Tamandua tetradactyla: one gene and its partners. The protein of the gene in region 1 purifies or fractionates together with the protein of each later gene. This does not show direct contact. Links are inferred from orthologs where the notes say so. Each region holds a gene or a part of one and is shown on either strand. Other genes may lie near its edges.

What was found.
Region 2: the proteins of SF3A2 (region 1) and SNRNP200 purify together in Homo sapiens (affinity purification with mass spectrometry; 4 studies listed by BioGRID and IntAct, with this or other methods). This does not show direct contact. The link is inferred for Tamandua tetradactyla from reciprocal best matches to the Homo sapiens genes SF3A2 and SNRNP200.
Region 3: the proteins of SF3A2 (region 1) and PRPF3 purify together in Homo sapiens (affinity purification with mass spectrometry; 3 studies listed by BioGRID and IntAct, with this or other methods). This does not show direct contact. The link is inferred for Tamandua tetradactyla from reciprocal best matches to the Homo sapiens genes SF3A2 and PRPF3.
Region 4: the proteins of SF3A2 (region 1) and SART1 purify together in Homo sapiens (affinity purification with mass spectrometry; 3 studies listed by BioGRID and IntAct, with this or other methods). This does not show direct contact. The link is inferred for Tamandua tetradactyla from reciprocal best matches to the Homo sapiens genes SF3A2 and SART1.

Annotation. Positions count from the first base shown.
Region 1 is NC_135337.1:80,639,772-80,646,635, forward strand, and holds the start of SF3A2 (splicing factor 3A subunit 2), read right to left. Parts: upstream 3,008-6,864; 5' UTR 2,518-3,007; intron 1-2,517. Other genes in the region: PLEKHJ1 (pleckstrin homology domain-containing family J member 1), read left to right, coding at 3,108-3,201, 3,326-3,393, 3,676-3,742, 4,547-4,637, 4,727-4,790, 4,896-4,961. UniProt on the Homo sapiens protein: Component of the 17S U2 SnRNP complex of the spliceosome, a large ribonucleoprotein complex that removes introns from transcribed pre-mRNAs.
Region 2 is NC_135343.1:2,444,312-2,451,275, forward strand, and holds the start of SNRNP200 (U5 small nuclear ribonucleoprotein 200 kDa helicase), read right to left. Parts: upstream 3,010-6,964; 5' UTR 2,879-3,009; coding exon 2,834-2,878; intron 2,386-2,833; coding exon 2,222-2,385; intron 677-2,221; coding exon 505-676; intron 1-504. UniProt on the Homo sapiens protein: Catalyzes the ATP-dependent unwinding of U4/U6 RNA duplices, an essential step in the assembly of a catalytically active spliceosome. Plays a role in pre-mRNA splicing as a core component of precatalytic, catalytic and postcatalytic spliceosomal complexes.
Region 3 is NC_135330.1:5,492,097-5,500,074, forward strand, and holds the start of PRPF3 (U4/U6 small nuclear ribonucleoprotein Prp3), read right to left. Parts: upstream 3,010-7,978; 5' UTR 2,902-3,009; intron 2,886-2,901; exon of another isoform or gene 2,779-2,885; intron 570-2,778; 5' UTR 522-569; coding exon 377-521; intron 1-376. UniProt on the Homo sapiens protein: Plays a role in pre-mRNA splicing as component of the U4/U6-U5 tri-snRNP complex that is involved in spliceosome assembly, and as component of the precatalytic spliceosome (spliceosome B complex).
Region 4 is NC_135335.1:8,561,503-8,569,489, forward strand, and holds the start of SART1 (U4/U6.U5 tri-snRNP-associated protein 1), read right to left. Parts: upstream 3,013-7,987; 5' UTR 2,906-3,012; coding exon 2,590-2,905; intron 857-2,589; coding exon 796-856; intron 421-795; coding exon 365-420; intron 1-364. Other genes in the region: TSGA10IP (testis-specific protein 10-interacting protein), read right to left, coding at 4,000-4,141, 4,828-4,952, 5,149-5,248. UniProt on the Homo sapiens protein: Plays a role in mRNA splicing as a component of the U4/U6-U5 tri-snRNP, one of the building blocks of the spliceosome. May also bind to DNA.

The DNA of each region.
Region 1 (6,864 bases):
TCTAGGACTATAGCTTTGCTGCAAGGCTACAAAGCAACCAGTACAATTTGGGCAGGTCTGAGAGGGGAGTCTCCAGGGGAAATATAGGAATCAACTTATTTGAGCTCATGGAAAATACAACTGATAGGAGAGTGAGATGTCAGGAGAGTGAGATGTGAGAACTTTGGAGGAAGAAACGGTAACAGGTACAAAGAAAACCAGGCAGAAATGCCTAGAGTGTATAATAATAGTGAAATGTACAAGGTACAATTTTAAAAATGTTTTTGCATGAGGAAGAACAAAGGAATGTCATTATTGCAGGGTACTGAAAATAGATGGTAATTAATATTTTAAAATGTAACCTTCTGTGTGAGACTAAAGCAAAAAATGTTTATTAATTACAAAATTTATATTTTGACTAGTGCATTTCCTAATATAACTTATGTAGATTGATTGATCGCCATAAGTGCTTAGACTCTCAGGTAGGACATGAGATTTTGCTGGTTTGTCCAGAGTGATGCCCCGATGAATCCCAGCGTGATTCGATCGTGAGTGGAAAAGTATCTGCAAAGCCCCCTTCGGGGAGTGGTGAGAACGGGGAGAAATTCAACTTCCCCAAGTTGAATTCTTGATATTCTCACAAGCAGAGTGGACAACCAAAGCTATAGGCAGAGCCCCCAGTCTTGGGGTTTGTTCACATGAAACTTAACCCCGCAAAGGATAGCTCAAGCCTACTTAAAATTTAGGCCTAAGAGTCACCCCCAAGAGAGTCTCTTTTGTTGCTCAGATGTGGCCCCTTTCTCCAGCCAACACAACGAGCAGTCTCACCACCCTAACCCTCTCTATGTGGGACGTGACTCCCAGGGGTGTGGACCTTCCTGGCAACGTGGGACAGAGATCTTGGAATGACTGGAGACTCAGCATCAAGGGATTAAGAAAAACCCTAGAACGAGCTCAGATTTAGCATCAAGGGATTGAGAAAACCTTCTCCACCAAAAGGGGGAAGAGGGAAATGAGACAAAGTGTCAATGGCTGAGAGATTCCAAACAGATTGGAGAGGTTATCCTGGAGGTTATTCTTATGCATCAAGTAGATATCATCTTGTTATTCAAGATGTAATGGAGAGGCTGGAGGGAACTGCCTGAAAATGTAGAGCTGTGTTCCAGTAGCCATGCTTCTTGAGGATGATTAAATAATGATACAGCTGTCACAATGGGACTGTGTGATTGTGAAAACCTTGTGTCTGATGTTCCTTTTATCTACCTTGTCAACAAAGGAGTAGAACATATGGAATAAAAATAAATAATAGGGGGAATAAATGCTAAAATAAATTTAGTTTAAATGCTAGTGATCAACGAAAGCAAGGGGTAAGGGGTATGGTAGGTATAATCTTTTTTATTTTCTTTCCTGTGTTCGTTTTATTTCTTTTTCTATTGTCTTTTTAGTTCTTTTTCTGAATTAATGCAAATGTTCTAAGAAATGAATATGCAACTAAGTGATGATATTGTGAATTACTGATTATGTATGTTGTTTTATTTTATTTTTAAATTAATAAATAAATTTTAAAAAAAAGAAAACCAGGCAAACAGGAAAACAAGGATTGATGAAAAAGTAATGGTAGACGAAAGAAGGCACGCCTTACAACGCATTAGCGACGAACCACACACATTTATAGTACTAGAAAATACAACTAAGGGTTTGACTAAAAGTTGCAATGTAATCGCAAGGTTTGGACGCAGATGTTGCAGCGCGTGGGAGAAGTCAGTTCTCACCAACTACGGTGGAAAAGCAGCAGACTGTGACTAAAACTGGTAAGTCCAGAAAGAAGTTAATTTATTTACCAAGACAGAGAACAGGGAGAACGGCTTTAAAAACATGAAAAGCGGCCTCTGAGGCCTGAGACTGCATGAAGGAGTAGGGGTTATAGTGCCCGATGAAAATACGGTAATTTCCTTAAATCTAGCACACTTTTCCGCAGAGTTCCTCCCAGGTTTTCCACCTGCCCTCAGGGACCACAGATCGGCGGTCACGGGCCATCAAACAATGACTACCTGGGCGATCAGGTAACCTCTGGGCTCATATGCAAAACGGGCCCGCTAACATTTCCTGGGTGCCCTCGGAAGGTATTCCACGCTCTCCCTGACACGACCTGATTTAATTTAGTAGCGGCAGTGATCGCCCACACCCCTCGTCTTACAGAGACGGAAACTGAGGTTCCCAGACGCGAAGCGACACCCCCTCCCCAAGGTCCCAAAGTCCGACAGCTAAAAGGCAAGTTTTGTCTCAGCAGAGGGCTCGCCACACCGCGGCCCCGCCGGGAGGGGACAGGGTCTGGGGCGTGTTGGCCTCGCCCCTCCTGGGGGCGGGACCCGGCCTCAGGCCCGCACAGTGAGCCCGAGGAAGACCGCTAGGCCGCTCGCTCCTCAGCTCGCGGCCTCCAGCCGCGCGGCCCGTCGCAGATGCCCCCTCCCACACGCGGAACCCTACAAGGAAGCCCAGGACCCAGAGCCCACCACCATCATCCACGCCGCTCCTCACCAGCGTCCGAGGGAGCACAAGCCGTCCCCGCTTTCAGTGGTCGCCACGACCTCACCCGCGCGCGCGTCGTAGGCTAAGAAAGCATTTCCGGGGGCAAGTGGGGCGGGTCCTGCCACGTGCGCATGCCCGGCTCGCCCGGCGGCTCGGGCGAACCGCTCGGAAAGCGCGGGAAGAGGGCGGGGCTGGGAGGCCTGGCTGGCAGCCGCAGTGCGCGTGCGCACAACTTTCAACGCCCTCCGGATTTGCTCCGCGTCGCGTGGGGGTCAGCCCTCCGGGCAGAGCCCGCTGAGAGTCCTTCCCGCCCGTACTCTCCGCTTTAGTGAAGGATGCTAGCAATCGTGGGGTGGACCTGATTCTGTTTTCACCCCAGGTCCAGTTTATTCTGTGACCTTGTAACGACCGTCCAAGTCCCCTATGCACCCCTCGCCTGCGGACCCCATCGCTACACTCAGGTAATCGACAGAGTGGCCGGCCAGGGAGTGCGCAGGCGCACTGGCTGTGGCAGCACTTCCGGTACTGTGCGTTGAGACCTTTTTGGCGCTGGCCGCAGGCGACGGACCGGGGTCCAGCGTTCTCCCTTCCGCGGCGCCATGCGCTACAACGAGAAGGAGCTGCAGGCGCTGTCGCGGCAGCCGGCCGAAATGGCGGCCGAGCTGGGCATGCGGGGCCCCAAGAAGGGCAGCGGTGAGCGGGGCCCGAGAAACTGGGGCGTTCGGCTTTCCGCATTTCGGGGGACCCGATTAACTGGATGGCTGGGCGCGGGGCTGGCCCCTGGGCCGCCCGCCCTGAGCCCGCTCTGTGCCCACAGTGGTGAAGCGACGGCTGGTGAAGCTAGTGGTAAATTTCCTCTTCTATTTCCGGACGGACGAAGCCGAGGTAGGGGCGCCGTCCGCGGAAAGGGGGAGGTCCCAGGAAGGCGGGAGCAGAAAGGGTGCGCGGGGTACAGTCTCTCGCCCCTCGGCCTCTTCACTCCCCCAGATCGTCTGACCCAGGGGTGCCGTGGTTTGCTGGTCGAAAACCATCTGTCTGCATCCTTTCCACCTGGAACCTGCCGCTCGGCTGGGGAGGGAGCCGAGGTCAGGGGAGGTACAAGCCTCCTGTGAAGTGGGGGCCCAGGTCCTGGCCTGCTCTCCGCATCTGCTCCTCTGTCTCCTCCAGCCCATCGGAGCCCTGTTATTGGAGCACTGCAGAGTCGCCAAGGAAGAGCCCAGCGTCTTCTCCATCAGTGAGTGGGGCCAGGGGACAAGGACTCCCCACCATCCCCTCCCCAGCCTGACACCACCTCTGTCCCGACACAAAGTCCTTTTTCTCAAGGTCGGCTCTCTGAGGCGCAGCCTCTCCCTTCAGGCTGGGCCTCCCCCCAGACTTTGCTCTCTCCCGAGGGCCCCAGGCTGCGGTCACTGGGGCTGATTGCATGCACCCAACCATCCTGGAGACTTCGTAGCAGCCTCCCAGAACTCCATTTGGACCTTGTCATTCTTTAGGGTTAAGCATTGCCCTCTTGGGGCGCTTGGGTGGTTATCTCCCTCAGTGTTTGGGTTTGTGCTGCCTCCTGAGAGGATTCTCCCCAGGCCATCTTCTTGAGGGTCTCACATGTGCAGGGACAGATGGAGTCTGGTACAGAAATACCCAGCCTAGTGTGTTTAGGGTTGGGGTTGGGTGTGGGCAGGAAAACTGCTGGAGGTGGGGACGTTGGAGCTGGCCTTCCTGGCGGATGAAGGCCCACGATCAGGGCCGTGGTGCTAGCGTCCAGTGTTACCAGTGCCCCAAAGGAAGCCTTTGTGTTCTGTTCATATCTTGAGAGTTAATGTGGAGAGCCCAGCAGTGTCAGGAAGGCCCAGGCTGGCTGTGGCATGTCATCCCAGGCCTTGCAACTTGGTTCACCTTGAGAACTGCCACGGGTCCCTGGAGCAGGAAGAAATGAGCCTGGGCTGGGGCTGGAGCCAGACGGCACATATGGACACTGGTAACAGAAGGCGGGGGCATGTGGCTGCTGGAATGGGGTGACCAGAGGCTGCTCCCTCTGCAGGTTTCATTGAGGACCCAGAAAGGAAGTATCACTTTGAGTGTTGCAGTGAGGAACAGTGTCAGCAGTGGACAGAGGCTTTGCGTCAGGCCAGGTGGGGTGCAGTGGGCAGCTTGAGGCGGGTGGGGGGCAGCGCAGCTCTGCAGAACAAGCCCCGTGAATGCACGTGGTTTCCTCCCCCAGCTACGAGTTCATGCGTAGAAGTTTGATCTTCTACAGGAACGAGATTCAGAAGATGACAGGCAAGGTGGGCAAAGGGCAGGCGGGCAGGAGTAGGCAGTGGTTGGGGTTGGCCTTCTGGTAAGGGCCCTGGGCTCACTGCTGCTCCCGACCACCCCATTCACCTTCCCAGGACCCCCTGGAGCAGTTCGGCATTTCCGAGGAAGCCCGGTTCCAGCTGAGCAGTTTGAAGGCATGAGCCCCCCCAAGACATGCACAGCCCTTGGCTCGTTTTGCCCTGGGCTGGGTTGTCAGGTTGGCCCAGTTTCCTGGCCAGGCTTGGATTTGTGATGGACTATTTTATACCCCCTGCCTTTCCCCTCCTTGGAAAGCCCAAGGCTGTGTGGGGATGGGCAGGGGCTAATTTTCTGGAGAAACACCCCAGCACTCTTCCCTCTCTCATGCCTTGGGACCACAGGACAGGGTTGGCACCTCACAGTGGGTGCAGTGAACTGCTGCTAGCATGCTGAAACAGACGTCCACATGATCGTTGAAGCTGGGCCCTTGGACCCCCTGGGAGGCAGGGTTGCACCCCTGGCCCCTCCAGTACCTCCACTGAGGGCCTAGCAGGCATCTGAAGGCTGGTGCTACCCTCCTGTGCCAGCCACACGTACGAAGTCAGAAGATGCTGTGAAGCACTTGGGGACGGCACATGCCCCAGCCGTTGGTGAATTCTACTCCTGCTGACAGGGCTGCCCCTACTGGGACTCTGGGTAGAGCTAGGGTGGGTTCCACCCCCTGCCGCCAGCTGGCATGCTGGCTGTGTTAAAATAAACATACCTCTTTTTCCATACTTTTCTTTCCACTGGACAGTGGTGAAATGAATGGAGCACACGTTACAGACCAGGAACTGGACCTACCACAGGGATGGAGGGAAGCCCTGTGGCCCTGGATGGGGCTCCAGGGCCTTGTGGGGCTTCTAGCGCTCCCAAGGGAAAATGAGGGTGGGGGACTGTGCGGTGGGCAGAATCCTGAGATGATCCCAAGGTCTGACTCCTGGGGCTTGTGGCTTCTAGCCAGTAGTGTGAATGTGAAGAAATTCTGCCAGTGTAATACAGGTCCCGTCAGCTTTTTTTTATTACTTAAGGGAGATTGTGTGGGGTTGGCCTGACCTAATCAGGTGAACTGCGAAAGTGTTCCAGGCCCTCCCTTGTCTGAGATCGGCCCCAGCTGCCCCTCCCCCCCCCCAGTAGAAAATGACTTCAACCCTAGGGAATTCTGTGTACATCTTGAGGAAGCTTGCAGGCAGGTCCTTCCCTCAGGCCTCTGATGTTTGCAGAGGGCCAGGGCAGAGGCCCAGGTGTGCGTGTGGCTCCAACCCACAGGAACTTGGGAACCTGGGCCCAGGTGTCCAACCCACTACTACTGCAGTAGTAGTGTTCCCAACTACTGCATTTGTGGTCATCTGGTAACATGGCACCAAGCTCATACACGGGGGTAAGGTGGGATGGGGGGGGAGGTCAGGGTCAGAGTCCCAGCAGGTTGGCCACAGGATGGGGCCCACCCCACACCTGACCTGGTTCCCAGGTGTGTTGTATGGGAGAGGGACTCAGGCCTGGGGACCTCCCTGTAGAGTGGGGCTCCAGTGGGGCCTCCCCACCTCCTTGGCTTTTCCTACCACACCTATATTGTTGGTAACGTGAGACACTTCTATAAAAATAAGCCCCTTTTGAAAGGTGCCTATGAGGAGGAGATGGAGGTCAGGTCAGCTCAAAGCTGGATGGCTGTTGACAGGCACCTGACGAGACAACAGAGGCCCTCTAGCTCTTCTAGGCACTGTCAGCAGTCACAAGTGGAAGACAGTCCCTGCAAGGAGGAAACACCACCACTCTGACCACAGCCAAGTGAAAACAAATATTTTTATTTCAGCGTCTGGAGGTGGAGATGAGCAAGCAGAGGGGTTCCCACAGGGGAGGAGGTCAGGCCAGTGGGCTCCGAAGGTGGCCCAGGGCCAATACACGCCATTAAGATGCAAATAGAAAGGCGAAGCTTCACTGCAGTGACACATGAAGCTTGGGGAGATGAGAAGCAAACTAGGCTTGTGGACGGGCCCATCGAAGTAGGGATTGCAGGGTAGGCAGGAAGGCAGGTTAGAAATTAGC
Region 2 (6,964 bases), on another chromosome or scaffold:
GTCACACCAGGCCCTGACCATTTTCATTAATGTGGACCAAAAATGACACTCAAGAGTCACACAACTTAATAAAGATAAGGTAAGTGGGAGGATGCAGCTTCCATGACATCTCCAAGTGGGAAAGGCACTCTGCCACCCTCCCCTAGCCTGTCACTTTTGGGAATTCTTTGTCCTCACTTCCTCTATCTCTCACTTTCCCAGAGCCTCTCAGAACTCTTAACCTAACCGTGCTTGTGTAAGGGCTAATAGCAGATTCTGTGAACTACCTGCGTTCCCATCCAGATACCTCCCCTGAGTCTCGGGAGAAGAATTTAACCATTCTGTGCTTCAGGTCTCTGTTTCATAACAGGGAAAATGAATAACAGCACTTATCTAAGAGAGTTTTTGCAAGGACCAAAAACACATAAAGTGAACTCTCAGTAATGGCCCACACAACAAATCCAAAAACAAGATTGTTCTGTGTCTCTCGGAACTGACCCTTTCCCTGGCTCTCTGATGCCTTACCTGGTCCCCAAGGGCGGCCTGGATGAAGCTGAGCAGCACCTCATAGGTCTCCCGGGTCTCTTTGGTCTTGGGCTTATAGATGATGCCCACCATCTCGTCAATGCCCTCTGACAGCAGGGTATAGCCCTTCATCTTGTTGATGTCATGCCGGTCCTCGTCACGCTTTCTTCGCCTAACAGACACACATTTGGCATTAAACAGGTAGACTCTTCCCTCTCCAAGGCAAAACCAAATCAAGACGGCACCCCTCTCTGTCTCAGCTTCATGGCGCACACCCAACATTTGAAAAGAAGAACCTACATCTCAGCAAATGATTCCATGTGCCCTTAGTCACCTGCGGGAAACACTTCTTTCTTTACTATATATTACTAAAGTAGTATAGGTTTACAGAAAAATCATGCAGAAAATATAGAGTTTCCATATACACCTGCCCCCACCCCATTATTAGCACTTTGCACTAGTGTAGTACCTTTGTTATAACTGACCAAAGAATATTATTATAATTGTACTTTATAACTGACATTTTTTGATGGGACACAGAAAAGGAATCCCCTTATTAGATACACTAAATTTACAATGGAACATTCCCCTCATTAATTAAAAGAAGACAACTCTTTACACTTTGTATAACATTATACCATCGGATTTTGACTTGTTTTTCACCGCTCAGAGGCATTTTCTTTCCCTACCTTCAAAAACTGAAGAGTCAAGATAAATCTACTGCCACTGACTCCCAACAAATTACAACAAAACTGGGACAGGCGGAATACTCTGTGAAGTAGAGGGCCAATGATATAAAACTGTTTGAAATGTAACTCCCTTAATCAAAACAGGCATAGGAACGTCTGAGACTTTATCACGAGGAGGAAACAGAGATGTTCAGGGGCAAAAGATAATGGTTTATTCGAAAGCTCCCATCCAAAACTTTCCTTTTCCACCCATTGCTATTTCCAGCACGATTTAAAACTGGAATCCTATCCACAGCAGATAGTTATATATGCTTGTCTGGCTTAAGGAGAAAATTAATTTTGCACGTAATTCTCCCCAGTGATCTGTAAGACAGGCCATTCTATTTCACCTTTTTTCTTTTCTTTTTTACAGAATATGAACCCACACCATTCTATCATTAAAAATGTCAAACTATTTTAAATGTTCTTGCTTAGATACTGCAAGTCTAAAAAAGCAAACTTTTTCTGGAGGGACTTAAACCCTGCAAAATAAAAGTTCTACATGTGTCTCTAAAAAAAAGATAATGGTGAGATAAAGTCAATAATTATTTAGGTTTTGAAATATATACCCCAAGAAGTACTCAAAAAAAAAAAAAGTTTTTCATACCAGTGGACGCTTAGGCGTTAGCTTAAGACTTAAAAAAAAAAAAAAAGTAGGAAGTGAGGAACAGCAAAGGAAAGTAAGGGCAGGAAGCCAGCAAAGGAATTAGAAAAAGAGCAACTGACTCAAGGGTCTCATAAATGCTGTGAAGATGAAGATGTCTGTGGACCAGAAAAAGATATGTTAGAAAAAGTTCCCAGAAAGTTATTTTCCACTGCAGCCACACTTGTTAAGGCCAAAGAACCTTTTAACTTTCAGGTACTGCTTTTACTTCCACCAAGGTGTCTGAATGACACTGACCTGTCTCTTGCACCAGGCGTTTCAGCAAAAATTCACTGAGAAGGGACTCTGATCTGGAGAAAAAACCTAGTATTCGCAGCGTACTCACTTGGCCCTTCTTTCCTCCTGCATCTGAGGTTTGGTCCGCTGAGCCTTATCTCCCATACGCGTGCCCTCCAATTTCCCCACCAGGGACAGCACCTCTCCTGTGGGTTCATCCCGGCGGGTGCGGTCAATAAGAGACCGGTCAGCTTGGAGGACAAGATTCGAATTCTGAAAAAATCACAATTTTATCGCAACTTTGACATCAGCTGGGCCGATATCCTATAACACAGGGATATCAACTGATGATGATAAAGGAAGGAGGCAGCTGTAGCATTTTATAAAACTGCACATGGGGCGAAGGGCTGAACTAAGTTCTATGGCCTGTCAACTCAGTCCAACCATCCTTACTCCTAGCAGAGCCCATAATAGGCCATAGGGAAAAGAGTGGGGGCCCGGCGGAGGGGACCTGTGCAAGGGGCAGGGAATGAACCCTCAGAGCCCCTGGCCAGGCCCGCCCGCCGCAGCCCCCAACGGGGTTATTCACAGCGCCGTGGACCCCGGTTTCTCCTCGGGTTTCCCGGCTCTCCCGTCGGCTTCCAGGCCGCAGCTCTGTTTCTCAGCCCCAGGGCCCCATCCCGCTCCTCCGCCCCGAGTCCTCCCGCCAGCCCAGACGCACCGCCTTGTACTCGTACTGCAGGCTACGGGCGGTCACGTCCGCCATGGCCGCGGCTGCCCCGCGCCCTCAGCGGATTCCTCCGCCTCACACCACACAGGGAACGGCCGCCGCTCTCCTGCCCGGAGAGATCGAACCACGCAGGAGAGACGCACAGGAGCAAAAAAAGAGAGAAATGGCCCCCTTCCGCTTCCGGGTCGCGCGCCGGAAGTGCGGGGAACGAGTTGCAGGCGAGCGCGCGCCGCCGTGTCCCGGTGTCTTTGTGGTCCCCCGGTGCCCGGGCCCCGCGACTCTAGTTCCGGTCTTGCCTGGGCATGAGCGCCCTGTCACCCCCGGCCCCTCAAATCCTGAGGAAGCGCACACCTCCGGCAGCCCCCGAGATGGGAGAGGGGCTCAGGACACACTAGGGGGCCGCTCGCAAAGAAAGAAGTCCTATTATGGTTGGCTGGTGAGCGTGCCTCTTCTGCGTGGGTGTTGTTTTCCTCTGGAATCGGACCCAGGCCTCCCCGCCTCCCCGCCCGGCTCTCTGCTCGGGAGCCCTTGAGCCGCGGTGCTGAGTGATTTTCGAAGTTGCTGCCCATGTGAGCTTTGCGAGGTTCTTCATCCATTTTTCTTAAATTCTGAGTAAAAGTTTGTCACTCACTGTGTTTTTATGGTACTTGAAGGGATGAAGGGATGGAGGGGTTCCAGAAAGAGTCGGAGTGGGAAGGGCTGCGTTATGGAGGCGAGACCCTGAGCCGAGGCAGGAAATGAAGTGAAAACAAGGAATTGGTGCAAGAAGCAGCGGCGGGGAAATGTGTCCCGGAGAATTCTCAGGCTCCTGGCAGTAAGGAGGTAACTTGTCTCCACGACATGTAGGGCGAGGCTAAAGCCAATTTATTGTAAGATTGAAAGAAAGACATACAGATCCAGGGACTAGAACTGAGAGTACAAAAATAAACCCGTGCGTTATGGTCAATTGAATTTTGACAAGGATGCCAAGATAATTCAAGGAAGAAAGAGTCATCTTGTCAACAGATGGTGCTGGGACACCTGGATAGCTACACGAGAAAGAACGAAGGTGGACCCCTACATCACCCCTTATGCAGACTTTATCTCAAAGTGGAGCACAGACATAAATGCAAGACCTAAAACTATTAAAATCTCTAGCAGAAGACAAAGGAGTAAGTTTTTGTGACCTTGGATTAGGCAATGATTTCTTAGATATGTCACCAAAAACAAAAGACAAAAAGACAAATTGGACTTCATCAAAATTTAAAACTTTTGTGCTTCGAAAGACACCACTAAGAAAGTGAGAAGATAACTCACAAAATGGGAGAAAATATTTGTAAATCATACATCTGATAAGAGACTAGTATCCAAAATATATAAAGAACTCTTACAAATTAATAATAATAATACAACTCGGAGATTCAGAGGGAGCAGAACAATGTAGCCATGAGATGCACAGAGTCTACCAGCCAGCAATCTTTGGAGGTGAAGAAGGAAAACGCCTCCTGGGGAGCTTCATGAAACCAGAAGCCAGGAGAGAAGGCTAGTAGATGATGCCATATTCGCCACATGCCCTTCCAGCCGAGAGAGAAGCCCTGACTGTTCACCATGTGCCTTCTCACATGGGAGGGAAACCCTGAACTTCATCGGCCTTCTTGAACCAAGGTATCTTTCCCCAGATGCCTTTGATTGGACATTTCTATAGACTTGTTTTAACTGGGACATTTTCTCGGCCTTAGAACTGTAAACTAGCAACTTATTAAATTCCCCTTGTTAAAAGCCAAAACAAATAAATAATAATAATAGTAACACAACTCAATTGAAAAATGGACAAGGGATTTAAATAGACATGCTTCCAAAGAAAAGATCTAAATGGACAGTAAATTTTAAAAATGCTCAATATCATATGCCATTAAGGAAATGCAAATTAAAACCATTTTAAATAACCACTACACACCCTCTACAATCTGTTTAATAAAAAGACAGACAATAGTAAGTGTTGTCAAGGATGTGGGAAAATTGGAGCCCTCATATGTTGCTGGTGGGATTGTAAAATGATACATCCACTTTGGAAAATAGATTGGCAGTTTCTTAAAAAGCTAAACAAAGTTACCATATGACTCAGCAACTCTACTCCTAGGTGTCTACCTAAGAGAAATGGAAACATTTGTTCACACAGACACTTTTACATGAAAGTTCACAGCATTAATTTGCAATTGCCAAAAAAATGGAAACAACCCAAATGTTCAAGTGATGAAGATATAAACAAAAAGTGGTATATCCGTACAGTAGAATATTATTTGGCAATAAAAAGAACTGTAATATTGGCATGACCCCCGTAGGGCTGGGGAGGAGGCTGAGCTTGCAGCTTGAGGGGGGTGGGGGCCCCGGACTCTGTGTCTGGAGAAGCGATGTGAGTGGAAGACTCAGTCCTTCCCTGCTGCTCTGATAATCAGGACTTTGGGCTGGACCTTTGGGCACACGCCGAAATCGCACGGAGCCAGGCAGAAAGCACACATGTGGGCTGACACGGATTAATAAGGAGCTCGGCAATTTGGCCCATGGCACACCCTCCCCCCAGCACAGTGTTCTGCAGGTCCAGTTGGGGACGAAAACTTTCATCGACAGTCCGCAATTCCAGGACCTAACGACAGCTCATAGCAAGGCGGTGTGTTCTTTTCGACAATTCATTTTCCTACAGCCCACCTCTCCAAAGAGTCAAGGTTGCATTTACCACAAGAATTTATCATCCAGATATTGACAGTAGCAGCGGCACTTGCTCACTATTCTAAGATGACAGTGGTCTCCAGTGTAACTGTTTCTGAAGTTCTGTTATCCATGTGTTTACTGCTGTGTGATCTGAACCCAGATGAACCCCCAGTGCCAGAGATGGCAGCCATCTGTGAAACAGCGATAAGTGCAGTTGAACATTTCGAGGATGGATTCAGAAGTATGCCATGGGATGAAAGTCAGAATACCTGCATTATAGTAGGAATAACTTTAATGTTTCCTTTTTTAATTTTCTTATCCAGCTGCTCTCCTGTCAGACTTCATCTTTGTGTGTGTGTGTGTCTGTATGCACTGAAGGGTGGGGGTCACATTTCATTCTTTTTTCGTATGACTATCCTGTTATTGCAGCACCATTTGTTGAATTTTGGGGGTGGGGTGCAGTGGGGAAGTGCATGGGCCGGGAATCGAACCCCAGTCTCCCGCATGGCAGGCGAGAATTCTACCATGGAACTACCCTTGCACCCCCAGACTTCATCATTTAAACTTTATTTTTGCTTACCTCCCTCCAATCATTCCATGCTCATCTGAGAAGACTTAAGTTCTTCCAGCTTTGGGCAATGACTGCTTTTAGAAACTGTAAGGTAGTTACAAGAGAATGGCTGCCCAAGATTCAGAATTATTTATAAAAAAAAAGGAAGCATGTGTATTATGTGCCCAGGTCTTTATTCTAACTTGGCTGTGAGACTGAAACCACTCCCCACTGCTCTGATGTACCGAAGGCGTCATCTGGGTGGGGGCCCGGACAGGAGATGGACGTTCAGTTGTCACATTGGAGGACACAGGCTTACCCCGTAGCAGCACCCGTGCTTGTCCAAGCCGTCCACTGCTGGAGAGCTGAGGGCACATGGTGACCCTAATGCTCATAACTGATGTGGCTGTAGAACTGGTATTGAATTTACAGCATCAGCAGAACAGAAAATGTGATGTGCTTTATGCCTGTCCATGAAGGGATGACTTCTTGTTCTACAGAAAATCGAAATTGGAAGTCATACACACTTTATATTCCAAGATAGGGTCTCAAACATTTTATAATTTTCCTTGAAATTATTAGGAAGCTTGGAGTTATTACTTACTCTATCTTCCAATATACTGTTTAATATAGCACTGAATAACTGGGGCAAATTGTCAATGGATGAATGGTCACCTAATAGCGCTGCTAGCAATTTATTTATTTTTCTTCAATAGAATTGCATAAGCCAATGAGTTAGTTGCAGGGATTAATCAGTATGGGAAACCACCTATTGTAAATTTAAAGCTGTTTCTTGTATATATTTTTGGGATTTGCTTCACTGTTTGACATCAAATGTAAAGCTCAGAAGAGGGACTATTTTGCCATGTTCAGTTAAAGTGTAC
Region 3 (7,978 bases), on another chromosome or scaffold:
AAATAGTAGGAAAATTACCATTAAAATCTACCTCCCTCAACTTTCTTCATGCATTTCATAAAGACTTCTAAATGTTTAGATGTCAATCTGACACTATATTAATATATTTATCTAACTTTAGTATATTTCCTAAGTAAATATAACTTAGGGAGTCAGTCTGAGTTTCAAAATATACCAAAAATAATATATAGAAAGTAAGCAAAAGAACAAAAGCAAAATTAGTTATTCAGGCTATTTCAATATAAAGCAGGAGGGAATAAAATGTGGCCCGACCTTTTTTCAGATGATCCCAACAGAGAGAATTTTGGTTATGTTAGAAGCAATGTTTAAAGGGTCATCCTAAATGTTAGGTCAAAAGATTCAGAAAGGTACATACCAGCTGCCTTCTTCTTATCCATGCCCTTTCCCACACAGTTCAATGCTGCTGTGACCACTGTGGGCTCTGAGAAACCCAGCACCCTCTTCACTGTCTTCTCTATCCATGGTTTCAGCTCATCCAGCTCCCTCTTAGACAGTGCCATTCTTTGGGAAAAGTAGAAGGATAGATAAAATAGAACTTGATACTGCACCTAAAAACAAATCAGGAGAGTGGTTAAGACAGAAGATAGGAAAAAGTTAAAGTGACCCAGAGCAATGATTAATACATCAGGAAAGCCTTTCCCACCCATATTCTCAATCCTTAAGGAGGTTCCTCCAGTTTATTCAAAGTAAAATACTTTCCCCAAGAACCACACTTCAAAGCAGAACTAGATTCCATTTGATTATTATTTTTTTTTTTTGGCACGGGCAGGCACCAGGAACCGAACCCGGGTCTCTGGCATGGCAGGCAAGAATTCTGCCACTAAGCCACCATCACACCACTCTCCATTTGATTTTTAAACCTAACTCAGTAATTACCAGTGGATCAATGAACTCTGTGAAAGAAGTCAACCAACCCTGGGAATAATCTGGTCTAAGAAATGAGTTCTAGCTTTGTTTCCAATCTTGTCTTATCAACAAGGCCTGGCAAACGTATAACATGAAAACTAAACTGACAGACTCTATCCTGAAGTCAGCTTTTCTATTTCTTCTACTTCCGGGGATGCATTCCCTAACCCAATCCTGACCCATTAAAAGTTTTCTTTCTCTTAAGGGATGTCAATAAGCATTCCTTAAGAAATGACAAGCAAGTCATTTGGTACTAAAGCTCATAATCCTTAAGAACGTTCTGTCTCATTTCTCTGTAGTTATATTCATCCCTGTGGGAATTCTGTACCCAGATAACCAGTTCTCTCTCACGTTCTCTGACTTGATAAGAGTAATCCATCAGCTCAGAAAAGAACACCTTCATTCTGGATATACTCTGACCTTCTCCCTTTTCACTTCTATTTTTTAGCTCAGCAGAGAAACACTATGATAAAGGACTCTCAATAAAAAATCTTTGTATTTGTTATTTAATGCTAATTAGTGTTACTTTAAAACATTATTCATGTTTACATGTTGGTTTATCTAAATCTCAAAACTTCTCATGGGCATAAACAACATTTTATTTCTCTGATTTTTCTCTATAGTGCCTAAAAGAATAAATCACACTGATCTCAATTTCCAAACTAAACTCCTCCCAGCAGTACCATATATCTGGGAGTCAATCTTTCAAGATGTTTCAAGACATCTTTTCTCCTAAAAGACAGAGTCTGATTAATTTCCACATCCTTGGCAGGTTTACCCTCTGTAAGACCTATTGTCAAATAGTGAATTTAATTTTGGTATAAATAAATAAAGCTAGTAGAATAAAAGAACGAAAGTAAAGTTGAAGGTTGTATTAAAAACTGACTATGTTTCTCACTGACAAGTTAAATAAATAATTTATGGTGCTAAGTGAAAAAGCCCTACTGTCCCCAAATGAAACAGGCTTATCAATCTCTACATGTTAAATATCCATTACTCTAAATAGGCGTATTCAGGACTATAGTGGGTACACAACTCTGGCAACAAGAGCTCAAACAGGATAGAAATAAAACTAAAGAATTTGGACATCACCCTGCCCTTTACCAGCAACCTTGTGCAAGTTAATGAATAAAGCTAATTAATTTCTCTGAGCCTCAGTTTACTCCTAAACTGAAAACTGCCATATCTACAATGCACTTAATTCATTCAATAAATATTCATTGAGCAAGTACTATCAATCAGTGTAGTAGGCACTGAAGATACAAACAGCAGTAAATAAAACAGACAAGAATCCTCACCCTAACGGGGCATACAGTCCGCTAGAACTGAATCATGGACGAGAAAGTGGAAGCAATTTGAAAACACAAAGCAATAAACGAGGTACCATCATGGGTGCCCAAGCACTATACTAACAAACGCATTCAAGTTTAAACCGATCTTTCTTAAGATAATGTACAAATGAAACAGCTAGTGGACAAAAATTAAAATATTCAAATAGTAACTAGCTTTGTCACGAGTCAAATATCCAACAATAACTGCGTGGTGGTGGGGGGAGGGTGGAAGAAGGAGGAAGGCAGAATGATATCTGAATGGGCAGGCTGCAGAATTCAATCTTCCGAAAGAATTCCTTACTCCGTGCTCTTCTTTGCTAGAATCCGAGTGACCCCCCGGAAATCCTCATTCTTCTATTTTTACTCTCTCCTCTTCTGGCTTTAACTCCAGCCGACAACCACCAACCCCCCTTTTCCTTCCCAAACTCCTCACCTCATTACTAGTCTCCCACCCCATCCCCACCCCGCCCCCGCCCTGTTCCTCTCAACAATCCCATTTCAACCCCTTCTCCCACGGAACCTTAAACTTCTTCCAGCCTCCTTCCCATTGAACCCTCCCGTTACGACAGTCCCAGTGACCAAGCCCCGGCCCCAGTCGCTCCGACCGCAGGTTGCCACCTCTGGGCCCTGGGCTACAACTCACCTCACAAACTTCAGCCCCTGAGACGGAGCCCGAACGTTACACCGGAACCGGAAGCCCTCGGACCGCCTTACGGCCCGCCGTCCTTGCCGCCACGGCCGCCGCCACGCCGGCCCCCAGCACGTGACGAGGGAGGGGCGGGACTGTGGGTTCGCGCAGCCGTAGTCGCCACGTTCCTGCTGGTGTCCCTCATGTGTAGAGGGGTCCGAAAGGTCCTGCGTTCAAGTTCCCCGCGGTTTGTTTTCCCGGCTAGAGAAATATTAAGCAAATTGCTACAAAAAAGTTGGTGTTCCCCGAAGCGGAAATTGGGTTGCTAGCAGTTTTCCTCACGTAGAGAATAAGTGCGATAAACTGCAAGTGGAGCTTCTGCGTTCGAGCTCAAACACGGCCTTTCTGGTAAAAAGTAAAACCCTGTAGAATAAGTAGCCATTACTGGCATTTGCCACCCCACCCCTCCCTCAGCCTTCGCTCCCTAACTTAAGAGTAATCACAGAAATCACCCAGGAAGAAAAAGAGTATAGGAGAACTTTGGAGAAAATAGCCCACACCTCGCCCCACCCCCAGCTTGCCTTTTCGTTGATTCATTTATTGACGGAACAAATACTTATTCACCGCCTACCACCACGTGCCTTGCACCCTGTGAGAGTTAAGTATTGCTTAGCGACTTAGTAAGAGCACACGTTCTAAAACCGGACTGCCTGGACTTGAACTCCAGCTCTCCCACAACTGTGTGACATTAGGCAACTCGAGCCTTCTTTTTCCCCTCTCCTCACCTGTAAAATAAGATACTTTGAAAAATCCAAACGAGAGCCATTGATTGCACACTTGGATGGGTTGTATGGTGTGTGAATAAAACTTGGGGAAAAAAATCATAGGGCTGCTCGGGGGATCACATTCGTGGATAAGGGTAATATAGTTTAAAAAGTGCCTTCCGCAGTTCAATAAACGGTAGCTACAAGCCGTGAAACAAAACAGTATATCCAGTAGCCTGCATAAATATATAACAGATGTCTTAACTTTACCACCAAAACTGAGCTCCTGATTCTAACCCCCCATCCCCACCTACTTCCTCATCTTGGTTAATGACAATTTCATCCCTCTAGTGATGCAGGCCAGTAACCTTGGAGAGATCATGGAACCCTGTTTCTCTCCAATCCATCAGCAAATTCCACTGGCACTACCTTCAAAGTATGTACAGATCCACCTGCTTCTCATTACCTCCACTACTACAGTATTAGTCCCTGGATTAATATTGTAGGCTCTGAATCCCTTTCTCTTGCTTCTACAGCACAGTGATCATATTTACACATCAGAGAGATCTTATTACTCCCCTATTTAAAAACCATCCTGTGGTTTTCCATTGTCTCTAGTAAAATGCCCTAGAAGATCTGCCTCACTCCTTACCTCTATTATTGCTCTTCCCTTCACTCATTCAGCTTCAGAGTTCTGACCATTTTGCTGCCCCTTGAACTGCTAAGCATAATCTCACCTCAAGGCCTTTGTACTTGTTGCTTTCTTCCTAGAGTGCTCTTCAGGTGCCTACATGGTTTGCTTCCTCATCTTCAGAATTTTAGTCAAATGTTACTATTACTATATAATTTACTTATTGTTTATTGCTCATTGTTTGACTCCCTCTACTAGAATGCAAACTCCATTAGGGCAGGGATCTTTGTTTTGTTCAGTGATATATCCTAAATGTCCACCATAGCACCTGACACAATTAAGTACCTAATAATTATTTGTTGAATTAAAGGATGAATCTTTTCCAGCAATGTCTTGCTTGCCTCAGCGCCTGCTGAAGTTTGGTTTTTGCTTTCTAAAGGACGGAAGTTCCTTCAGGGCAAGAACTGTTTCATATTGTCTTAGGATCTAGAATAGTGCCAGACCCAACAAGTATTCAATTAATGAGTTAGACATGGCAATGGCAGTATTGCTTTCCACATTTTATCAGGAAGTTTGTATTCTTCCCTTTCTTCCAAACAGAGCTCTGATCCTCTAAATCTCTGATATCAAAAAGCATGTTTGCAGGCAAAGTATAGTTTGAAAAAGTGTGTCCAAAGTTATGACACAGTTTCATATGAGAAATGGGGAAAAAATCAGTTATGTTTTAGATTACAAATGACAAAAACCAAAATTCCATGATGTCTTCTTGGAATAGTAGTTTCGCCGGAAAATTAGTATTTCCCAGGAAGCATGGAATTTCTACATCAAATGACTGGTTTTAAACAGTTGAAGAAATACATGCCAAAACCCACCTTCACTGATAAGAAGGCACGATACAATGGGATAAAACCCAAGTCCCAGCTTTGCAGGGTTGTAATGAATCTTTAATTTTGTTTCAGTGCTCTTAACAGTCTGGGTTCAATTCCCCATAAGGAAAAGTTTTGTGGAAATTGATTTTATTTACAATTTTTGGAATCAAGATGGTTTTAAACCCTTAGTTTCCCAATTGTTCCCAATCACTAGCAGTGATTTCTTGGGGTAATTTTTATAAGACTGTTTCCTCAATCATACAATGAGAATACTATTTTCACTGTAAAAGAGTACTGTGAGGATTAAATATCACATAAAAGATACATGTAGTACAATGCCTGACACATAGTAGGATTCAATAAATCATTGCTAATTTTTTATATACTTTCAAGAAACATTGAGCATCTAAATGGGCATTATACTAGGTAATGGGACTAGAGAGGTAAAAAAGATGAAGATGCAGCCTCTGGGGAACTGAAAGTTAATAGAAGGAGAAAAACAAGAAATAAAGCACAGTATAGCATGATTATAGAAATAAACTGTTATTCTAGAAGTAAACTTATCAAGATACATAGAAGGACACCTGGTAGAGGGATCAGGGAAGGCATCTCGGAGAACATCCAAACCAAAAGTTGATATACAGGGGAAAAGGAGAAAACAGTATATGCCATGATCCCAAAGTGTGTTTGAAAGGGACAAATGGAGAGAGAGAAAAGCTGGGTTCAATCATGAAGGGCCTTAAAATCCCCTTTGGATTTTATCTTGAAAGCAATGGGGAACCAATTACCAGCTTAAGCATGAAAGTGACAAGAGCAGTGTTACAGTTTAGAATAATCATTCTGGCCAAAGTGTGAAAGGAATGGAACCAGACAATGAGGTAGGGGACTGATCAAATGGCAGTTGTAAATATATAGAAAAGTTGTGGTGGTAGCTGGGATCAGGGTTTTGGCATGCGGTCATAAAGCACCAGAGAGGACTGCGATTAAATGGATGCTAGGGATTGAGTGAGGAGGAATAAAAGATCAGCTTTCTGATTGGCACAGCTGAGAGATTAATTGCTAAAATTTATTGAATTCTTACTGTGTGAGATACTATAATAAGTACTTGACAGACATCATCTCATTTAAGCCTCACCACAAACCTGTAGGTACCACTATCTCCATTTTACAGGAAAATCAAGGACTTATGTTAAATAACTTGACAAGATCACTGTTGAATCCAGATCTTTTTGACTATTAAAAGATTATGTATGACCTGAGACTCAAGAGCTCTGAAGCTAAGAAAGTCAGCAGTACCCCATACAGGGACTGTTTAAAAAGTTGAAAAAGGGATCAGACTTTGAGTAGAGATATGAAGGAAGCTATCTGGACAGGATTAAAGTAGAGCAGAATACAGGGTAAAGGATGAGATCATCCATATTTTAAAACTTCAGGTTCTGTGTGAGACCAAAGGGAGAAATGTTTATTTAGTACAAAATTTAAATTTTTGGTAGCACATTATAATTTAACATGTATGGTCAATTTAGTTGAACACCATGCATACATGGAATCTTGAATAGGGCGTGAGATTTTTTTTTTTTTTTTTTTTTTTTTTTTTAAAGAGAGAGGGAGGAAAGGAAGGAAAGATGGAAGGAAGGAAAGGAGGAAGAAAGGGAAACATTTTTAAACATTTTCTTGTTTTATTATATTTTGTTTGTTTGTTAGTTTTTTACATGGGCTGGGGCCGGGAATCGAACCGGGGTCCTCCGGCACGGCAGGCAAGCACTCTTGCCCGCTGAGCCACCGCGGCCCGCCCCAGGGCGTGAGATTTTGTTGGTTTGTCCGGGTTAGTGTGATGCCCCAATATATCCCAGAGTAATTTGGGCAGTGAATAAAGAAGTATTTGCAAAGTCTCCTTGGGGCACTGGGGAGAAAGGGGGAAATATTCAACTTTCTGATTTGGAGAATTTCTGATATTCTCGCAAGCAATGGGGACAACTAAATCGATAGGCCGAGCTCTCGATTTTGGGATTCACCCTTATGAAACATTCCTTCAAAGGATAGGCTAAGCTTACTTAAAATTAGGTCTAAGAGTCACTCCCAGAGGTTCCATGAACTAGGGTAACTTTCCGGAAACTTACAACCTCCAGATGGGTCCCCGGACCAGATAAGTCCTGAAACCTAGAGGGCCCAGCCTCTCCAGAGCATCAGCTAGTTCTATCTCCCTACCCCATATTAGTGACAGCCCCTTCCAACATGAAAGAGTTAGAATGGCCGTAGCCCAAATATCTCTAAAGATGGGATAGAAAGATCAAAGATGATGGTGGTTGTTCTAGTTTGCTAGCTGCCGGAATGCAACACACCAGAGACAGACTGGCTTTTAATAAAAGGGGATTTATTTTGTTAGTTCTTCAGTGGAAAGGCAGCTACCTTTTGACTGAGGTTCTTTCTTACGTGGGAAGGCACAAAGCGATCTCTGCTGGCCTTCTCTCCAGGCCTCTGGGTTCCAACTGCCGTCTTTCGCCGGGGTGATTCCTTTCTGCATCTCCAAAGGCCTGGGCTGAGCTGCAAGTGCTGAGATGAGGTATGCCAAGCTGCTTTGGCTGTGCTTTGGGCTTTCTCATTTAAGCACCAGCCAGTTAAGTCAAATGTCATTCATTGCAGCAGGCACGCCTCCTAGCCAGCTGCAGATGTAAACCAGCAACAGATGAGGTTCACTTGCCATTGGCTCATGTCCACAGCAACAGAACTAGGTGCCTTCACCTGGCCAAGCTGACAACTGAATCTACCATAGTGGTTATACAGAAAACATTAAGGTTTAACAAATGAATATGACTGCTGAATCATTA
Region 4 (7,987 bases), on another chromosome or scaffold:
AGCAGGACGGCACCCTCCACACCTTCCAAAAACCCCTCAAAATAATAATAATAATAATAATAATAAACCAACATCTACGGCCCAGAGCAATCTGCAGTAACTGTGCCCCTCTCTCAGCCCATGTAATATCACTTCTCAGTCAGTGTGAGTATGCAATGACTAGCTGTTCAAATTTACAGAAGGAGAGTCCCAGAATCCCATCGTGATGGGCAGGGAGGGTGTCTTCGGGCAAGTGCATACACACATGAAACCACTAAATTGTACTGAATCTGCACTTTAACCCCACTCTTCAAAGACCCCCTTCAGATGGTCCCTTTCCCCGACCCACAGCCCTCCTTCACCCCATCCTCAGCCCCACACTCACCCTTCTTGACAGCATTGACCTCCAAGGGTTTCAGCCCCAACTTTGCCCGGAGTTTACTAAGGAAGAGAGGCACAAGTGTTAGGGGCTGTCAGAGAAATAGGACATCAAATGCATTTCTGAACAAAAAAGAGAGTGAAAACAGGACGAGAATGAATGCTCCTAAGGCTCCCAATCATGGGGGCACTGGGAAGGGCTTTGGCCTCCAGAACACAGAACACGGTACTGGGCATGGCGTGCCCCTCACCAGTGGAATGTCACTTGGGTTTCTGTTTCCTCTTCATAACCCAAACAGTTGGCTAAGAGGACTGAGATGGCCCTTCCAACTCCAGTCAGAATGCTTTATTATGTAAAAGCTTCCACAAGCAATCACCCCAGAAGCCACTTCTCTCAGGGGGGAAAAAAAATAGAACTACAAGGAACACAATACTTACTTGGTCTCCTCGATGCTGAGTGATGAGGCATCTCCTGAACTGGTGGTTTTGGAGCTAGCAGCTGGAACAAGAAATGTGGCTTAGGAGCTGAACCAGGGTCAAGATGCCAGCATCCCTTATCCAGCACCTGAGCCTTGCTGAGACACCTGCAAACAGCAGCAACTGTGGCCTTCCCTCACAGTCTTCCTCCTAACAACTCTTCCTATCTGAGCTGCAGCCTCTGAGAATCCTGCTTCTACATACTTCCCTTTTCTGTCCCAAGAGGGCCAATCTTCTGCATCCCTCCCTCACACTGCCACCTCTCTACCTTTGTACGTTGCACCTTCAACCTGCACTGCCCTCGCTCTGGCCTTGTTTGCACTGTAAAATCCTACCCAAATGCAAAGATGAAACACCATCTTCTCTGTGAAGGCCTGTCAATTACTGGATCAGAACTAACTGCTCTCTCCTGAAACCCATAGCACGGTTACTATTTCTGGGGCTGTTTCTCCCTGACAGTACAGGGACCATAAGGGCAGCATGACTGAGTCAGGGGCTGACCAAATCTACACATGTGATTCATATATCAAGAAGCAAACACTTTTTAGTGCCAGTTCTGTTATGCTGGATGCTGGGAACAGAGACAGAAAAGCATTTCAGTCCTCTTCCACCCACTTCACAAACAGCAAATTACTTCACTGAACATCACAGAGAGAAGTTAGACACCCCAGCTAGCTGCCACCTGGCTTGCATTCCCACCCTATCAACCTACCTCTTTATCCAAAGGTTCCTTTCTCCACCTGGGCCTAAGATTCCAACCCCTTTGAGCTCTCTCCAAGGTCAACAGCCCCATTTCTAAACCTATTAGCTATTTTTTAGTTCTGGTTTTGCTTAATCTCTTGTGGCATGTCACTCCCCTTCTAAAACCACTATCTTAAACAAACAAACAAAAACATTCTTCCCGCAGACCTCATGCTTGAGACTCACCTGGTTTTCCTCCTTTGGCTCCTCTACCTGCATTTTTGGAGCATTGTCCTCTGCCCACTTCTAAAACGTTGGCATTTCTCAGGTTCCCGTCCTGACCCTTTTTTCTCACACCTCACTCTTTCTCAGTGGACTTCATTTGTCAACCAAATACTCATACCCCCGCAAATGACCCTATTCAGCCCTGACCCTGTGTTTCTCCATGCATGTCAAACTCAATATGCCCCTAAACTGAATTTATTATTCCCCTCCTCCCACAAGTCTGCTTTTCCTCTCATCTTCCCCATTTCAATAGACAGCTCCACCACCAACCTAGATGCTCAGGTCAAAATCCAACGGGCCATCCTCAATTCCTTTCCTTCACCACCCTCATCCAAGTTCTGACTTCTAAGCACTTCTTCCATCTGTCTCCGGGCTCTATTCCATTGCTGCTGCTTTGGCACTGTCCAACATCAGCCCACACCTGTTTTTCTGCCTCCAGTCTTGCCTACTCTGAATCCACCCCTCCAAGCAGCGAACTTTACAAAATGTGAATCTGATCATCTCACTTCTCAACTGAAATCCATGACTCCCTGCTGCCCTAAGGACAATCTGCACACACTATAGTGACCTCATTCATTCATCCTTTAACTTACTCAACACATCAATTTAAGGCCTGTGATGTGACAGACAACTGAGGTCTCTAGAGAGCCTCAAAGGAGGACCCTTTAGTAACTAGGGCTGACGGAGAGAACCCGGGGCGGTGCTCGGCGAGCACTTGTCCCTAATCCCAAGGCCCGCACGCGGCGGGACCCCTGAAGGCCCCGTCCCTCCGCAGGTCCTACTCCTCACCCGCCTCGTAGCCGTCATCGCGCTTCTCCCGCTTCACACGCCGCTCGGAGGGCTCGGCCTGGCTGCGCTCCCGCCCGTGCGCGCCGCCCCGGGCCTCGGCCTCAGCTCCGCGCCGTCCGCTCCCGCGCTCGCCCCCGCGCTCCCGGCTCCTCTTCCTTCGTTCGCCGCCGCCGCTGCTACCGCCGCCGCCGCTCCGATGCTTGTGTTTTTTGTGCTCCCGGTGCCGCGGCGGCTGCTCGGTGGTGCCCCCGGTGCCGGCCGCCGCTGTCGTCCCGGCCGCCTCCTTCTCGCCGCGGTGCTTCTTGGACGACCCCATGGTGGAACGTCTGCCCCGAGCGGGCCGCCGCCGAGCCCCGACGACGCAAAATGGGAACGCTTCCGGGTCGCCCGGCGGCTGCCGTGTTGCCGGAAACCAAGAGCGGCTGCTTCCGTCGGTCGCGCGGAGGCTGACCCAGAGGCTCACGGGAAGGCCGAGGTCGGCGCCCCAAAGTGCGTTTGGCTGCAGGCGAGGGAGGTTTGCTCAGTCGGCTCAACTGCGCATGCGTTCCTTTGGGTGTGCGAACAGGGTCTGCGGAAGATCGAACCCCAGAGCTTGGAAACCCCGCCTTGGCTTGTGTCACCTGCAGCCACGCGGTGCCCACTGCCTCACGGCCTTTCCGTGGACAGGCGTCCTCCTAGTGGACTCCATCGAGTGTTGAACAGTGCAGCGTGACCTCCTGCAGACCCCCAGCTCCTCAGCCCGCTCCGGGCTTCTGTAACCACCACAGTCAGCCATCGCTGCCTTTCGATGTCCCCTGGATGGGGCTTTTCAGCCTGGGGTCTGTGAACTGCCAAGAAGCTCCAGACGAGCTTTTGTGTCTGAATCCCTTGAAAATTGAGTGCAAAATATGGCGCATCTGTGTGTGGCCATTGTTTTTATCTTGAGGAGGGGGTCTGTAACTTTTTTGGTTTTGTTTTGCTTTTTTGGGGGGGGGTCTATAACTTTAAGGCCCAGTTCACACAATCCTTCGGACACCCCCTACCCAAAATTGCTCATTTCCGCTGCTGGGTTCCGGCGGCTCCCCGTCAGTCCCCTGCTATGGTTGTTGTGCAGGTCGCTTTGAAGATCAACCCCACCACCACTACCACCACCAGTGTTCACTGGGGATCCTCAAAGGCAAGGGCCTTGTTTGTCCTGTTCACTCCTGAATTCCTAGGACCACGTGTGCCTTCCATGTTGGAGACTGGGCATGGGTTCCCCACCCCTCAGAGACTGGGTTGTGTGTATGTTGGGGGAGGGGGTTGAGCAGACAGAACAGTCAGCTCCTGGGGGAGGTGGGGGCAGACACCTGCCACCTCCTACAACCAACTAGCAGATCTCCCTCCCCCTGTCCACCCCAGAAATCCCACGCTGTATTTTCCATAGATCATTTAATTTTGATCTGGGGGACTGGACGCCAGGTCCCGGCTGGGAGCAGAGCGCCAGTCAGGCTGGCTGCCGGCATGTCTGGATTGTGTCCTCGGGGGGCTCTGAGAAGAGGGCTCTGTTCTCAGCCCTGATGGTCTGTGGCTCCTTAAAGATGAGGACACAGATAGAGGCCACAGGACGCCACAGCTGTACCCTCCACTCCCCACCCTTCGGCGCTAGGAGGGAAAAGGCCATGTGTCTGACAACGTAGGTTCAAATCCCAGTTCCTGTGCTAGCTTGCTGTGTAACCCTGGGTAAGGGATGTCACCTCCCCGAGCCTCAGTTTCCTTATTGTGGAGTGGACCTCAGGAGCCCTGCTCTGCAGAAGTAAGGGACAGTAGACATAGGGCAACCAGTGTGGCACCAGCCCCATAAGGAGGCTTGACGCATGGCTGCACAGATGGCTGCCGTGACCCAAAATGGCTCGGCTGCTTACTTGGTCCTGGGTCTTGAATTCTCAGTTTCCTCATTGAGAAGTGGCAAGAATAACCCTGGCCTTTCCCTCTCTGGGGATATGGAGAACAACTGGGCCTCGGGAGGGCTCTGCTCGTTGCCAGGGCCAGGCAGAATCCTTCAGGCAGGGGAATGGGGCAGGGCAGTCCTGAAGCCTCCATCCAGGGTGATCAAAATGCTGCCCAGGGAGTTTCTCAGCCTCCCGCCACCCCACCCCCAGATGTCCCCCTAGGCTGGGAGAGGGGAGGGGAGGGGGGAGAGGAAGGGAGAGGGAGTGCTTCCTCCCCCATTCCCCACGGCTGGGCTAGCCAGCCACTTGGCCAGCCAGCCGACTTCACCTGGGTTTCCTGGGGCTGCTGTCCACATCCCCCTTGCCCGCCTCAGCCAGCAGCCGCTCCTCATCCAGGCCCAGTGACGACAGCACTTGGGAGAAGCGCCGGCTCACAGTGAGCCGGGCATTGGCCTAAGAAGAAAGAAGAGGGGTTCCTGCCAAGGATGCAGTGGGGCTCTGGCCACAGTTGGGGGTGGGTGGGTTCCCTGGGTTTCCAGGTGGGCACCAGCCTGGGGGGGCCCAGTCCCCACCTTGCTGCCTACCCCCACTCAGCCAGGAAGAAGCTTTTGTCTTCAGAGAACAGCCTTGTGCTTGCCCAGGGCCTCACCTGCATGGCCTGCTGGAACAGATAGGGCCGGGCCTGCACCCTGTGCTGGATGCCCTGCAGCTCCGCCTGGTACTCGGCAAAGCGCTGTCGCTCCTGGCGCCTGCACAGGAGAGGCCACTGGGCAGCTAACCTGGCCCCAGACCCGCCAGCCCTCTGGGCACAACCCACCCCCACTCCTGAGCCTATTTGTCCTCACTAAAGGCTTTATGTGCTCCCCAGCTTTCCTTCACTCCCACTCTTGCCCTAGATTCTTCTGGAGGTCAGCAGGATGGGAATTGTTCACCCCATTTTATTCATGGTGAGCCAGAGGCTCAGGAAGGTCAAGAGATTGGTCCAGCGTAGCACAGCTGGGTAGTGGGGGCTTCCCAGTCACCCCCCTTCCCCAAGGGAGAGGAGCCGGCACTGGCTTCTCAGGCCCCAGATAGCTGCTTGTACAGCTCTTCCCTGCCCGCAGCCATATCCCTGCACCCTCACACTTCAGCTCTGGGGAGGCTGTTGGCTGTGCGACTTTGAACAAGGCAGTGCCCCTTTCTGGGTCTGGGCACTTTTTACTTTTACTGGGCTCTTACGGGTACTGGACGAGCTTGCCAGCATTTTCTGTGGTTCTTATAAATAGGCTGTTCAGAAAAGGAGACAGCGAAACAAAAGAGATGTGTTGCAAATGAAACAGCACATCCTGGAAAAATCGGGATTCTCCTGGGGAAGCACAATTCTTTTTACAAAAACCCAGTTTGTGCACTTGCCAGAATCTACCTGCTCAACAAACTAGGCACTGTCTTGTGTGATAAGAGCATCTTGGCAGCAAGAGAGACCCTCTGGCCACAGCATATGGGGACAAGTGGCCCTTTGCAAAGCACATAGGAGAGGCTGCCTGGTGTGGGGGAGGAGCCACAGAAGGCATAGGAGGGGAGAAGCAGGCATAACCCGGGACTCGGGCTGAGACCTCTGGCAGGTGTGCCCTTTGGAAAAAGTCTGCCTTGTTGGGCCAGGACCCTTGGCCATGTGCCAAGGGAAGGAGCCAAGAAAAAGAAATAGACTTGGAAACCCCATCATCAGCAATATGAGTTACTGCAAAAAAAGATGGAGGTCTTTGCCAATCAAGAGGGAATTTACAACAGTTGAAAGGGGAGGGAGACGAGGGGCTGCCTTCCAGCCTGGCTTGCATTTTTCCTGCTCATCGCTCCGTGCTATTTTTGTTAGAAATGAGGACGGCCACCTCTCGGAGCCCCAGAAGAGAGAGGAAGCGTTGCCAGGGGCTGTCAGCCCTGCCTGTCATCTCAGTAATGAGAAGAAAACATCAGGCCTCCCTATCACAGGGTAACAGTGGATGACCCAGTTGACAGGCCTCACTGTGGCCAAACCTCTCTTGCCCGCCCCTCCAAGGCAGGGCAGGGTCTCCAGTCCCAGGGCAAAGTTCACTGCAGTAAGGCCTGAGAAACCTTGCCGGAAATACCTGCACATGCCTTAGCCCTCTCTTTAGTAAACGATCAAAGGGGCACAGGTGACACCCTTCTGAGCCCAACATCTGCCCCTTGGTGTTCTGAACCTTACACTGCTTGCCTTATTAAGAAAACAGGCAGAGTGATTGTGAAAACCTTGTGTCTGATGTTCCTTTTATCTATGGTATGGACAGATGAGTAAAAAATATGGATAAAAAATAAAGAAATAATAGGGGGAACAAATGTTAACATAAATTGAGTAGACTGAAATACTAGTGATCAATGAAAGGGAGGGGTAAGGGATATAGGAAAAAAAACAAAACAGGAGGAACAAAGGTGAAAATATATTGGGTAGATGGAAATACAGTGGTCAATGAGAGGGAAGGGTAAGGGGTATGGTGTGTGTGAGATTTTTCTTTTAATTTCTTTTTCTGGAGTGATGCAAATGTTCTAAGAAATGATCATGATAATGAATACCCAACTATGTGATGATATTGTGAGCCATTGACTGTACACTAAGTACAGAATGTTCATATGTTAAGAATGTGTTTATATGTTGTTTTGTCAACAAAAATATTTTTAAAAGTTTGAAATGCTAGTGATCGGTGAAAGCGAGGGGTAAGGGGTGTGGTAGGTATAATCTTTTTTTTTTTCTGTTTTCATTTTATTTCTTTTTCTATTGTCTTTCTTTTTCTGGATGGATGCAAATGTTCTAAGAAATGATGAATATGCAACTAAGTGATGATATTGTGAATTACTGATTATGTTAACTTTTATTTCATTTGTTAATTTTTTAAATTAATAAATAAATTTAAAAATATATTTTAAGAAAATAAAATAAAAAGAAAACAGACAAGCTGTGAACTTGAGGCCTGGCAAGCGGACAGCATCTCTCCAACCACTGGCCAGAAAACACACTTGACCTCTGGAGCCTCAGTTTCCTTTATCTTTAGCACAGGGGTGATAAGAGTCTTAAAGAGCAGGCCATCAGAGTCCACCTGGTCTTTGGCAGCCCTGCTGAGGGCATGACCCTCCTCTGTCTGCAGCACCTGCTCGCTGTGACCTTCTCCCAGGACACAGGAGACCAGGGGTGGACAGGGCTGCACTGGTGCCATCTGCACCCAGTATGTACTCAGTGCATTAGCAATTATATGGTTTTGGGTGATTTGTTTCATTAGTTCGGGCTGTGTGGGGAAGCAGCTGGTGTGCTTTACCTACAGAGTGGGAACTGAGTGCTCCGAGGTGGCACAGCAGGTGAGAGGCTGCTGGGTTGGTATCCAAGCTTTGATGCTTACTTGTGACCGTGGCACATTATTTAAGGTCTCTGAGCTGCAGCTTCCTCATCGGTAGAATTACAGGAGTGATGATAATCCTTACCTCGTGGGCCTGTTACAAGTTTT